Drosophila melanogaster: one gene and its partner. The protein of the gene in region 2 interacts with the protein of the main gene of each other region in a pairwise test. Each region holds a gene or a part of one and is shown on either strand. Other genes may lie near its edges.

Evidence for each region.
Region 1: the proteins of CG31751 (region 2) and Syn2 interact in a two-hybrid assay, tested with the Drosophila melanogaster proteins (one large-scale study listed by BioGRID).

Annotation. Positions count from the first base shown.
Region 1 is NT_033778.4:16,552,420-16,557,535, reverse strand, and holds Syn2 (Syntrophin-like 2), read right to left. Parts: upstream 2,950-5,116; 5' UTR 2,919-2,949; coding exon 2,844-2,918; intron 2,778-2,843; coding exon 2,628-2,777; intron 2,569-2,627; coding exon 2,283-2,568; intron 2,218-2,282; coding exon 2,053-2,217; intron 1,932-2,052; coding exon 1,747-1,931; intron 1,692-1,746; coding exon 1,533-1,691; intron 1,468-1,532; coding exon 1,243-1,467; intron 1,184-1,242; coding exon 980-1,183; intron 918-979; coding exon 807-917; 3' UTR 510-806; downstream 1-509.
Region 2 is NT_033779.5:18,675,460-18,683,272, reverse strand, and holds the start of CG31751 (uncharacterized protein), read right to left. Parts: upstream 6,053-7,813; 5' UTR 5,801-6,052; intron 4,558-5,800; exon of another isoform or gene 4,435-4,557; 5' UTR 4,420-4,434; coding exon 4,112-4,419; intron 3,643-4,111; exon of another isoform or gene 3,569-3,642; coding exon of another isoform or gene 2,174-3,568; intron 2,119-2,173; coding exon of another isoform or gene 1,315-2,118; exon of another isoform or gene 1,198-1,314; intron 1,009-1,197; coding exon 884-1,008; intron 829-883; coding exon 8-828; 3' UTR 1-7. Other genes in the region: tos (tosca), read left to right, coding at 1,315-2,118, 2,174-3,568; Mst36Fa (Male-specific transcript 36Fa), read left to right, coding at 6,341-7,035, 7,101-7,264, 7,316-7,707, 7,765-7,813.

The DNA of each region.
Region 1 (5,116 bases), on a different chromosome or scaffold from region 2:
AAATCTAGTTCATGTTACGTCTGTGCATTGAGATTTGTTCGGTGGATGTTATATATATATATATTATTTTATAAGGTATTTTTATATATATCTATTATGACATCAGCTATTACTTCAGTAGAAAATAACAATTAATCCGATCTTAAAGCATTCGTTTTTCGAAAATTAAATTTTCATTAGAGCGCACACAAAACACGGTTTTTATATTTCAATCAATTTTCGTTAAACCGCCGAAGAAATATATGTCTAGAGGATACAGCACGGGTTAAAGCCTTTAAGGCCACTCATTATAATCTTTTCGGCTAATAGCAAAAAGCGATTAGATTTCTCTGACATTCAGAATCGGCAGACCTATGTGGTTTTAACAATCCGTAAGTTAGGTAGGTAGGGTTAAGGGTTAATTTAACTTTAAAGGCTACATTCGGAAACGATCGATTATAAACAATATAAATTTGTTGTCAATTTGTAAGTACCAAGTCTACGTAATAGGAAAAATGCCTAAAGTAATTGCCTTATGTATGCTTAAAATTTACTATAATGCACCAAGAGATTTCACTTTCAGTTTTATCAGCGCTATAAATATACCCATATCAGTATCCAATTACAATTACAATCATTCAGATATCAACATACATATGTATATGCGCGTACTCGTTTATAATAACTCCAAGCGGACAATCATGTATGCGATACCTATAGTCCAACATTCATATTCGAATTATTTGCTATGCACTTTACGAATATTCATTATATATCATTTTGAGTGTGAGTCCATGCGAATTCTTGTCCCTCATAATATTTTTGATTTAAGTCTGCTGGATTGAGCTCAAAAATGCTGGATCCACCGATGCCACCTTGGCCGTAAGAAACGCGTGCATGCAGAACAGCAGACTTTGCAGGACTTGGCATTCCAGCTCCTGCAGGATATTAAACTTTTTATATATTATGAAATTATGGTATACTTGTATCTTTAGCTTACCTTGGTTTCTATTGCACGGCTATCGTGATCCTGGAAATGCAACTTCAGCTTCGATTTACCATCATCACTGGAGCCCCTCAGCTGGGAGAATTTATACTGCCAAACTGTGGCGGATTCGGCTCCTTCGGTTAATGAAAAACCAGCTTGCCAGTCCAGCGTGAGTCCACCACTTTTTCCATGATGCGACACGGCAAAGGTCTTACGCTGAGGAAAATTAACATATAATTAGAGAGTGAAGGTATGCGATATAAGTGTAAACCTACGCCCAGTTTGATGACACTTGTCACAATGGCCGCATTCCAGCTGTTTTCGATTCTCAAAAGCTCCTGACGGGTTTCCACGCTCAAATAGCGCGGTTCATGACCCGAACTTTGCAGCAGGAAACAATGCTGACGACTATCCACGGTCTCCGATTCCTTGACAATGCGGAACATGGTCTGGTAGACCTTGTAGACCACCAAAGCCTTACTAATGCCAGCCACATTTAGCTAATAATTTAATAGAAAAAATTAGTTAAGATAATCGAAACTTATCGCAATTGATTGCTACTCACTGGTGGCGTTTCAAAGAGCATCACTTCAGTGCCTTTGAGCAGTAGAAACCTGGGCTTGTAGCTCTGCCACGATATATTGTTGTTAATGACACCTTCATTCACCCAGCCCATGTACTCAATGCGCTCGCCCACAGCAAAGTTTCTATTATATAGCTTCATCTATTGGATACACAATTGATTAAATTATGAATATATATGCCTTTAACTCTCCTACCTGTAAATGCGTCAGGCCCACAACATTGTCTGTTATCAATTTCAGCCACTGACTAAGTATGGCCAGTTCGTCACAGTGTATGACACCTGTGGAAATTCCATTCAGACCGCGAACTTCGAAGGCATTTTGTCGCAGCTTGTCGGTGCCATAGATGTACCTCGTCACATATGCCATCATTAGAGGTACTGCAAGGTGTAAATATATGAATTGATTAGCATTTCTGTACGTAAGATTTGAGATACATTTCTGTTATCTTAGGACATAATCAATGAACAATTTGTTAACCTATTTATAAATAAGGCTCACCGGCAACCACGTCGGTCCAGCGCTTCTCGGGCTCCGAGCAAATTGACATGGGGCGACTACAACTGCGACTGATGGTTCCACTATTGACGGATGACTTGTAGCCCTCGTCAGCCTTCAGTTCGGCACATGTGACATCGTTGTCCGAGTCGGGTGTGTCCTTGGTCACTGGGATGTTGAGGAGGGTTATTCAATCCTTATTTATCGTGCTATGCTAGCCCACTGCTACTCACGTTGTTTCTGAAGGAAAGGCGTGGCTGCGCGATAATGCTTAACAGTGAGCACAACAATATCGCCAGCGTTTCTCAATATATTGACGGCATCATCGTGAGGACATGCCGTGATGTATTCTCCGTTGACCTTGATGATGGCATCGCCAACAAATAGTTGGCCCGTTATGTCCGCAGCCTGATCCTTATAGATACGCGATATCAAAATGGGTAGTTTATGCTCGGCGCCACCTTTTATGCTCAGTCCTAGGCCGCCTTGTTTTTGGCGCGTAATTTGAACCATACGTTCCTGAAAGATGAATTATTTCATAAATAAGTTAAATGTTATAGGGGAAAATATATATATACCTTTGATTCCATGGGTGGTCCATTGGGGTGACAACTACTTGGTGTTACCACTTCCAGCTTCTGCAGCGAAAGCAACTCCATGGTAAGATTAAGTCGAAGCGGTTCTGGTCTGCTCTTGCCATCGCTCACGTGCACCATTCCAGTTCGCACCTAAAATATTAATAATTTAATATTTAATAGATATACATTTATAAATATGAAGAATCTTTGCGTTACCTTCAGGTTTTGGTCGAGTTTTTCTTCTATAGGCGTGGCCATGGTGTCAGAGAGCTTCATAATTCCTGAAATCATTCAGAGAAGAGGGATCTTGAGTGTGATTTATGATCTTAAATGGGAAACGTGCTTAAAGTGATAGGATTTAAAAATGAATTATGAACCAAAATAAAATAAAAATCCAGGAACTCTAGAGATTTCTAGAGATTAGTTTGCTATAATAATAACAAAATGTATCTTCAAGATATCTTGACTATACTTAAAGCTCAATCAATATTTCTAGAGGCGTTAAATTAAATGCGTTGATTGATTGAATGGAATGAATAATTTAGAGCAAAGGGTCTGAAAAGGTTGAAATGTTGCCTGATTTGTGGCAATAACGGGATGTCTACCCTTGTTACCAAATCGGATGGCCGCCAATCAAGTTGGCCCAGTGTAATCAAGCGATTTCTGAGAACTTTTCGTTTTTTTTTTTTTATTTTTAAACATAATCGTGGCCATGGCAATGGACTGCGAAACAACTGCAATCAAATCGGGAAGCCGGCTCCGTGGCCTTTATCGATTGCCATTTTATTTTTCCACTGAGCAGACAGCAGTAAGGCGAAAGCAACGCAATTGCAATCATCGCATATCGAATTACGTTTGCACACTGGCCCACCGATGAGCCGATAGTTCAAGGTGAACTGTGCAATTGCCTTAATTAAATTACACATGCAATTAGAAACAATTAAGCGTAATCAGGCTGCCGCAAAATGTAATAGAAGGCATATCTAGATGGAAACGATACATGGGCATACCTTGGCCAAGTGCGTTTTCTACGAACTGATGCCACGGCATATGTTTTCCATTAAAGTGGAAAATAAATATGCTACCGGAAAACTAGATATGAGTGAAAACACATTGAAGTGTGCCCCATCTGCAGACGTTGTTTGTGGTTTTCCCTGGTGCTGAGTGCCGAAGTGTGGCCGCAACTGCTCCTCAGGAATGGGAGGGTGGAATATGTATTTTGGATAACCACTTGTGCTCCATAAATAGGTGTTTTGCCTAGGGGGGGTTGAGAGTTCTTGAAGGGGGGGGGGGGAGGGTTCGATTTGAGCGCCAAATATGTGCATATGGTGCCAGCTAAATTGCCATCTGAGATTGAGAAATTCTGAATTCGAGGGGAAACACTTTCGCTTTAAACGTTTTCTGCGATCTGATTCATGGTCAAAGTGAATTCAATTGTTATTATTGTTAATTAAAAAAATTATTATATATTTTTAATGAAATTATGAAAGGAATAAAATCATAATAAAATGTTTAGGCCTAAGCTTACGTGTCATCAACAATGAGTTTTTGAAAATATAATAAAAATAAATATATAAAAACGGAATTATTTTACTGAAGCAACATAAAATAATTATAATTAAGGTAAATTATACATTCCAAAATCTATACAAAAATAGATCTATCAACCCAGAATGTTCTATATTGCCTGCAAGAGTTTCGCAGAGTGCAAAAAGTGTCGAATATTTGGACCATGAATTCCTGAATCCTTGGCATTCCGCGTGTCGTAGCAATTAGCTGCTGGTCAGGCCACCGACTTGGCGGAACACGCATACGCTCCGTTGTCCCGGGTTACCTTTGATTATGGCTTTATTATTACGTGTGCACGCTGCGCTGCCCTTTTGGGTGCGTGCTTCAGAGCCGTAAAACCGTGAAGCTAGGCCCAGAGTACTCTGGTTTTTTTTTCGGTGGGGAGGTGTCCAGGAGTGCAGGTCCTTAGCTTCAAACCAAACAAGCCAACATGTTCGGCGTGAGGCCTTGGACAATCAGCTGTGCCACAGCCACGAAAAGAGCAGCAGAAGCAGCAGCAGGCGAAACGTTTCGGGCTGTTTTGCCTGAAGTTTCAGCGATTGAACTTTTCTTTTTTTTTTTGCAGCTCTGGCTGTGAAGTAAAACAAACACACGCACACCCTCGCATAACCGATACTTTTGCTGCCCGAGGCCCAAAAACGTTGATTATTAATTTATGTGTGTGTTTGCTAAACAATTCTACCGCACCCAGTATATCGGATCGACTTTGGGGGATTACCTCCTTGTATTGACAGATGTACTTATGCTTGCCCGCACACATATACATATATATATGTATATGCGTGTGTATAAATATATGCAGTTTATGTGTAGTTGCGACCCGTTTTCGCGTTTTCAATTGGGTCACATTTTCACATATTCGATATCCTGAATAGAGGGGCTTGAACTCGCGATTTGGCCAAATCGTCACTCACAAAAGT
Region 2 (7,813 bases):
TTTTATATTATTTATTGCTCTGCGTCAAGTACTGGTGTCCAGTGCTTGCCCACAGCTCATCAATATCGTCAAAGCTCTCGCGCCACAGCTTCTGAAGGAGCTTCCATCCCTTTTCCTGGGTCACCAGGAGGTACTCATTTGTGGGATGCAGCGTGTGGGTGTAGAGTCCCATTACCAGGCTCTGAACAAATCGGGCAGTAACACAGTACTTGAGAAGGGCCAGCTCGGAATTCTCAATTGGGTTCAGACTGGTATAACCGGACAGAAATATGCCACCATTGGCCAAATCGTTGGCCTGCAGTATCATATAAGTGAGGGCAATTCCAATTTCGAAGATCAGTGGCGATTTGCTCGTATCACCGAAATCAATAACTCCCTTGATGGTATATTCAGTTTGATTGGGCACCTGCTCCACCACTATATTTTGTTCGTTGAAGTCCCCATGGATGATCTGGTGCTCCATGGATGGCAGTTGGCTCAGAACCTTGGCTTCAAAGGCATCGATCACCTCGTCGCAGATAAGCCGCTGCTCCTGATCCTTCACCACGTACAGGAATTGCCTAAGCTCGGGAACACTCTGAAGCATCCACAAGGTCTTGTGGCTTTCATATGCCTGGTGGGTGAAGTTCTTGAGGGCTCGATCCAACCTGGCCAAGTATTCGCCGCTGCGGTAGAGCAGGTGCTTCGTCACCGGCACCTGGTGGAAGATTTCTCCCGGTATAAATTCCAGCAGTCGCACCACATTCGAATTCCCATTCAGCCGTTCCACAGAGTAATACTTTCCTGTTGCATTGGCTACTGGTCGTGGGCATTTCACACTGTGTTTTCCTAGGGAATACGATTGCATTGTCAATTTGCTGATGATTTGGCTAGCAATTCTTACCCAAGTAAAGCAGCATCTGGTTTTGGGCATCCACGAAGTCCTCTTTCTTAGAGTCCAGTGAGTTGAGGATTTTCAGGACGTATCCGTGTGGACAGTGGGTTACAATGAGGGGGTTCTTAACATTACTGCAATACGGAAATGTATTCAATAGGAAATTACTTATCTTAAGGAGTAAATAAAAAATGAGGCATAACAAAGCGCCACATTCATAAAAATACAAAATAATATCTGTTAGAAATATTGAATTATTTTTAAAATCCAAGTGTTGGATAATGATAGACATATGCGTTCCATGTGAATGGCAATTCGAATTTTTTTTATAGCATCGCACTTTGGTCACACTGATGCATTGGCAATTTTGGCGCTAAGATCCGCAATTTTATTAATTGTTTATTTCGTTTTTATATGTGTTATTGTTGTTGGTCCTAACCATGGGCATTACCGGCCTAATTCCCTTCGTGGGCAAGGCCTCCTCGCAGCTGCATCTAAAAGACATTCGCGGCAGCACAGTGGCCGTGGACACATATTGCTGGCTACACAAGGGAGTCTTCGGCTGTGCGGAGAAGTTGGCCCGCGGCGAGGATACGGATGTTTATATACAATACTGCTTGAAGTATGTGAACATGCTGCTGTCCTACGACATCAAGCCCATTCTGGTCTTCGATGGGCAGCACTTGCCGGCCAAGGCTTTGACCGAAAAGCGGAGAAGGGACTCCAGGAAGCAGAGCAAAGAGCGGGCGGCGGAACTCCTTCGATTGGGTCGCATCGAGGAGGCCCGATCCCATATGCGACGCTGCGTGGATGTCACCCACGACATGGCGTTGCGGTTGATCCGGGAATGCCGGAGCCGGAATGTTGACTGCATTGTGGCGCCCTACGAGGCCGATGCCCAAATGGCCTGGCTGAATAGAGCAGATGTGGCCCAGTACATCATCACCGAGGACTCGGACTTAACGCTTTTTGGAGCCAAGAACATCATATTCAAGCTGGACCTCAACGGCAGCGGCCTGCTGGTGGAGGCGGAAAAACTTCACCTGGCCATGGGCTGCACGGAGGAGAAGTACCACTTTGACAAGTTCCGGCGCATGTGCATCCTATCCGGCTGTGATTACCTGGACTCACTGCCTGGCATCGGACTGGCCAAGGCGTGCAAATTTATACTAAAAACGGAACAGGAAGACATGCGAATAGCATTAAAAAAGATTCCAAGTTACCTCAATATGCGCAATCTTGAGGTAAGTTAACTTGCGGTTAGGTCTGAATTGTAAGACTAATAATCCTTTAATCCAGGTAGATGACGACTATATTGAAAACTTCATGAAAGCGGAGGCCACCTTCAGGCACATGTTTATCTACAACCCGCTAGAGCGTCGCATGCAGCGGTTGTGTGCCCTCGAAGATTATGAAACTGATGAGCGCTACTGCAGCAATGCTGGCACCTTGCTGGAGGATAGCGAGCAGGCTTTGCACTTGGCCCTAGGCAACTTGAACCCCTTCTCTATGAAGCGACTGGACTCTTGGACACCGGAAAAGGCATGGCCAACGCCGAAGAACGTGAAACGATCCAAGCACAAAAGTATTTGGCAAACGAATTTTCAAAGCGAAAACACTCACACGCCGAAGAAAGAAAATCCGTGTGCCTTGTTCTTCAAAAAAGTGGATTTTGTGGGCAAAACTCTAAACGAGGAAATCGAAGCTAATCAGCGACTGGAACAGGCTAAACAAACGGAGGCCGAGTTGTTTAACATGTACAGTTTCAAAGCCAAAAGGAGGAGAAGTCCGAGCAGGGAAGATTCTGTAGATCAAGAACGTACACCTCCTCCGTCGCCGGTGCACAAAAGTCGGCACAATCCATTTGCCAAGGAAAGGACTGGAGAAGAAGCTAATCAGCGATCCCCAGTAGTTTGTGAGAATGCCTCTTTGCTGCGTTTGCTTAGTCCGAAAAAGGCAAGTCCGTTGGATGGAGAAGCTGGTGTAAAAAAGGTTGATTCGCTTAAAAGAAGCATATTCGCCAAGGAACAAGTTCAGATCCGAAGTCGCTTCTTCGCCACGCAGGATGAACAGACAAGGCTTCAAAGGGAGCACTTAAGAGATACGGAAAATGACGATATGGATGAGCAGAAGCTGAGCTCTCACTCAGGCCATAAGAAACTAAGACTAGTATGTAAAGACATTCCAGGGAAGAACCCAATAAGACAACGTTGTAGTTCACAAATCAGTGACGGTGAAACAGATACAGATACCACAGCCTCTTCTCTTTTGGAATCACAAGATAAAGGTGTTCCTTCGCCTTTAGAATCCCAAGAAGATCTCAACAACTCTCAACCCCAAATACCAACTGAAGGCAATACCAATTCAACAACTATTCGCATTAAGTCACTGGATTTACTTCTGGAAAACTCTCCGGAACCCACTCAGGAATCCGACAGGAACAATAATGATGCCATCATTCTGCTATCGGACGACAGCTGTAGCTCGGATCAGAGAGCATCATCTACCTCATCCTCCAGCCAGCAACGCCAGAACTTTTTGCCAACCAGCAAACGAAGAGTGGGGCTGAGTAAACCCTCCACTGCCAAGAAGGGCACTCCTAAATCTAGGACGAATGGAAAACTGGGTGCCGTGAGCCAGAATCAAACCAAGCTCAGCATGTTTGGCTTCCAGACGAAACCTGTCCTCAAATAGATGGCTCTTCTAGATTGTAAGCTTTTTGTTCTCTAGATTTATCTAATTTATTAAAGTGAAGAGCTGAACTGACTACATCAGTGCTGAATGCCATGAATCCATCAAGATAGCAATTGCGATGCTGGCAAGGTGACTGTCGACTGCGTCACACTCAACTGCCGCGACTAACAACTTTAATTAAACTGGGTATAAATAGATGCTACATACCGCCGCATTTCTCCGGCTCATTATTATTTGTTTTCGTGTTGCACAGTCGTACTACGAACAGCAGCTAAAATTGCAGTCATGTCAAAGCACAGAAAATATGTTGTGTTGATGCTTTAAAGGAGATATTATTTCAAGCAACGAATTCTTGTGTTTACTATATAGAAGACTAATCCTGATCTAAATGATATATTATGATGTTTGAAATTGCCTGTGCTAATAATCTGACTGCAGCTGTATGAGATGCTTACGCTGAACTCCCATACACGAGATAAACCTCCGGATGTGGTGCGGGATTGGGAAAGGGTGTCAGCGAGATACTGTCATCGCTTTGCTTACCTATCCTCCTTGACAAAGAAGTTGCGATCGTCGTAGGCGACGATTTCCTTAACCTCGCTTATCGTGATCCCGTAGAGGCGACGCAGCAGGCTCTCCACGTCCTCGGGCTCCACTTTTGGGCGCACGTCCGATCCTGGCTTGAGGAGATCGCCATCTGCAGCTGTTGATTCATCGGCACTGGTGCCATTGCCATTCGAGGACTTTGCCGTGTTTTCCTTGTTCAACTTCTCGGCGGCATCGTAGGCATGATTCAGGGTATACGACTTTTTGGACATGTTCGTCAGCTCCACATTGTTCCACTGCTCCATTTTATTTTTGGGGCTCTATCGGAGACGCAAAAGACCAAAGGCCAAGAAACCGTGAGTAAAAAAATATCAGTTAGAAGACGAATAAGAGCAGAGGTGGAAAATGTTTTCGGTTGCGCGTTCTCCAGCGAAATGAATTGTGTTTCAGTTTGCGTCTCAATTGAAACGAGTTCGTCGACGTCTTCTCCATATCTTTTTCGCCAGTTTGTGTGCGTTCAAGTACAGTCAAGCCTCGTCTATATAATCCACAATCTTAAGTTAATAACAATTTACAATAAGGTCGAGTTTTAAAGAGCAACGTTTTTAAAGTAAAGCTTTAATTTTTATATAACATCTTACTAGCTTTTCTTTTTAAAGCCTTTACAATGATTTTTAGTTATTTTTTCTGAGATTCTTATGGCGAACCTTTGACTGTAGCCAATTTAGAGCTAATTAATGATTACAAAAACAGAAATTGTGTTTAAAGGCTAGCCAGTTTAAGCATTAAACATGTTTTTTTCATTTCAAACATAACGTTTTGGTTAATTATGTTGGAAATTTAAGGTTTGAGTGAAAAATTTCTCTAGAGTTGGTATTTTTGTTATGCCAGGGTCGCCTTGATCTGCTTAGAATTACACCTCGCCGGTATCTGATTAGCGGGTTTCGACTGTATCTGCGTAAGATTCAGTCCCGTGAGTTTTTTTCCATGTGGGTGAGTGTGTGAGCTTCTGTCGCCACTTGCAGTGTTAACTTGGCTATTTGCTTAATTGCTTAAAGTCGGACGAGCCTTATTTTCGACATTTTTCGGTGCTTATCAGGGGGACAGTGGTTTCCCAACCGTGGCAAAGCAAACTGTCAGTCGTGATCGGCTTTGGTTAACGTTCCAGTGGAAACCACATCAATTATATGGCGCATAAACCGAACAGATCGCAGGGATTAGAGGCACTAATATGGACAGAAAGAGGGAAGAGCAAATACCTTTTTCAGGTCATAAATTCAAACGTCAGTGGAAAGGTTTTCAAACCCGTACCGATCGATGATAAGCAGGGCAAATGGAATATATGCATGTAAATATTTGGGCGGAGAGAGGCGATAATAATTGAATTTAAATGTACATAAGCGAGCAGCTATCGAAGTTTGTCAATCAAGTGCCAATTACTGACCTTGACTCAATTACAGTTTATTGCTCATACGCAGTGATGTACGTAACTACGGTTTCTGGGCTCACACACACACGGCCACAAGCTCCCACTCTGGCGCACACACACACACGCGCAGCTGTGGGTAATTAAAAGCCAAATATAGTGTGCATGTGAGAGACGCAAATATGCACAGCTGACTGCTAATCAAGCACATAAACAAGCCGCCGAATACAGAAACAATAGACTAAGACAAGCTTATTTACCTGGTCACGGAAAATGCACCTGAGTCTCCGAATCGGAAAAGTGGCCAACTAAACTTAGCAACTGAGCGCCGCGGATGGAAACTGGCCAAGCAGAGGAGAGTCGATTAGATTCGGTCCCACCTGTGAGATTGCTTATGTAAACTGACAAGCGGAGCAACTAACTTTGATTAAAACAATAAACAACACTCGAAAAACAATGAGTAAAAAGAATAAACGAACGAACACATTCAAAAATTCAAAGCAATGTGCAGCCGCGTTGACATGCGAATGGCTAGAGCTGCTGCTTCTATCCACTGCCTAATCAGCTGTTTATTTGTTCGCTTTGCAACGACGCTTGCCAACACTAAATGGCGGGGGATTTGAAATTTATCACCATAAACGATAATAACTCCGTGGTGTGGAATTCAATGCGTTGTATTTAGATTTCACCATCATATGATGGTGTACCAGCCCCTTTTAACATTATTCCTAGAAATGATACTCACAAAAAATACTTCAGAATAGAAAACATAAAACAAAAATAAACAAAAAACTCTAAAAATGCCCCATAAAAAGACGAAGCATTTGAAAGCCGTGGTACCTGGCATGGTTAGTCTCGAAGGAGAGCAATTTGACTCTTGGGAAATTCCCTTTCCCTTGCCGGAGCAAGAAGATCCATCAATGTGCCGAGATGAGTTTCTCAAGGATCTGATAAGGGAGCACGAGTCCCGAGTGGCCTCATTAGTGGTTAGATCTACAGTGCGGGACGTTTCGATAGTCAAGCGGCCAGTGGAGCTCCAAGACACAGATGTAAAGGAAGCCGAGGCTATGGTGGTGCTGCAGATGGCCCAAAAGCGCCAAAGAACGTCCGTAAGGAGAACAATGGAGGAAGTCATAGCCAGCATAAGATTGAGGTCCACCATAATAGCAGATCTCATTCGCCAAGTCCAAAAGGCGGCCATCGAATTCCTATCGGTTCGTCTGCTCAGACAGTTGCGACTCTTCTCGATGCCCTGGCCAGGCGATCTGGAGGAGACCCCAAACAATCTGTTCAGCTGGTCGTTGGATGACTTCTTATTGCGACTGGACGTAAAGCAGATCTACCTTGATGTCCTCAATCGGGAGCGAAGTGTCAAGGATCTTGATTGCGTTAAGTTCTGCAAGGATCTCAGCGAGATCGAACACCTTATACACGAAATTAGAAGAGATTTTCGAGACGACGTAGACCTCTGCGAAAATAGCCTACATTTGTTAAAGTAAGGGTGTTTCGATTGCTTTGTTTAGCTTTAACTGCGACATTGACATATGTGTTCTATTGCAGAAATGCCCAATACCACATGAATGCCCCTTGGGTAAAGAGCCTTAATGATAATATCGAAAATCTGGCATCCAGTGCGTCAGTCGCTTTGCTCAATGAGCAAAGTGGCTCCTTGACGTCGTTACGTCGTAACTCATCGGCAATGATAGTGTTCGAAAGGAAATCAGGTGAGTGGGGTTACTATGAGCCATATTTGGAAAACTCATCTTCTTCCGCAGCCCTGAACCCGATTGAAACGCGATATCAAATCAACTGGTTTAAAAGCTGTACGGATCAGCGTCTGACCCGGATGAACGAAAGAAATGTGGAGATAAAAAGAGAGCTACAAGACCTGGAGGTACAAGCAGTGCAGGATGAAAAGGTGCAGTATTCCTCCGGACTCATGTATGAGTTGGAGGTGGGAAAGCTTAGGGAAAGCATTCGAAATTGGCAGGACCGACTTGATACCGATTTGGAACACGCCGACGTCATGTGCACCGTATCAAGGCTTGCACTGCAAAAGCTTAAGGACGACCTAAAGTTTTACATGGAACAGAAGGATATGTATCTTCAGCGAATCAAAGAAGTGCAAGCACTCATAGATCAGGAAAGGATGATTCGCGAAGAAAGGGTAAGTCTTGGCAGAGAAATCGAATTATGGAGTCATCATTAGATGAAATGTCACTAGGAATTAGCCGCCTTAAAACGAATGTCGAGGGGGTCTTTAAGAAAATCTG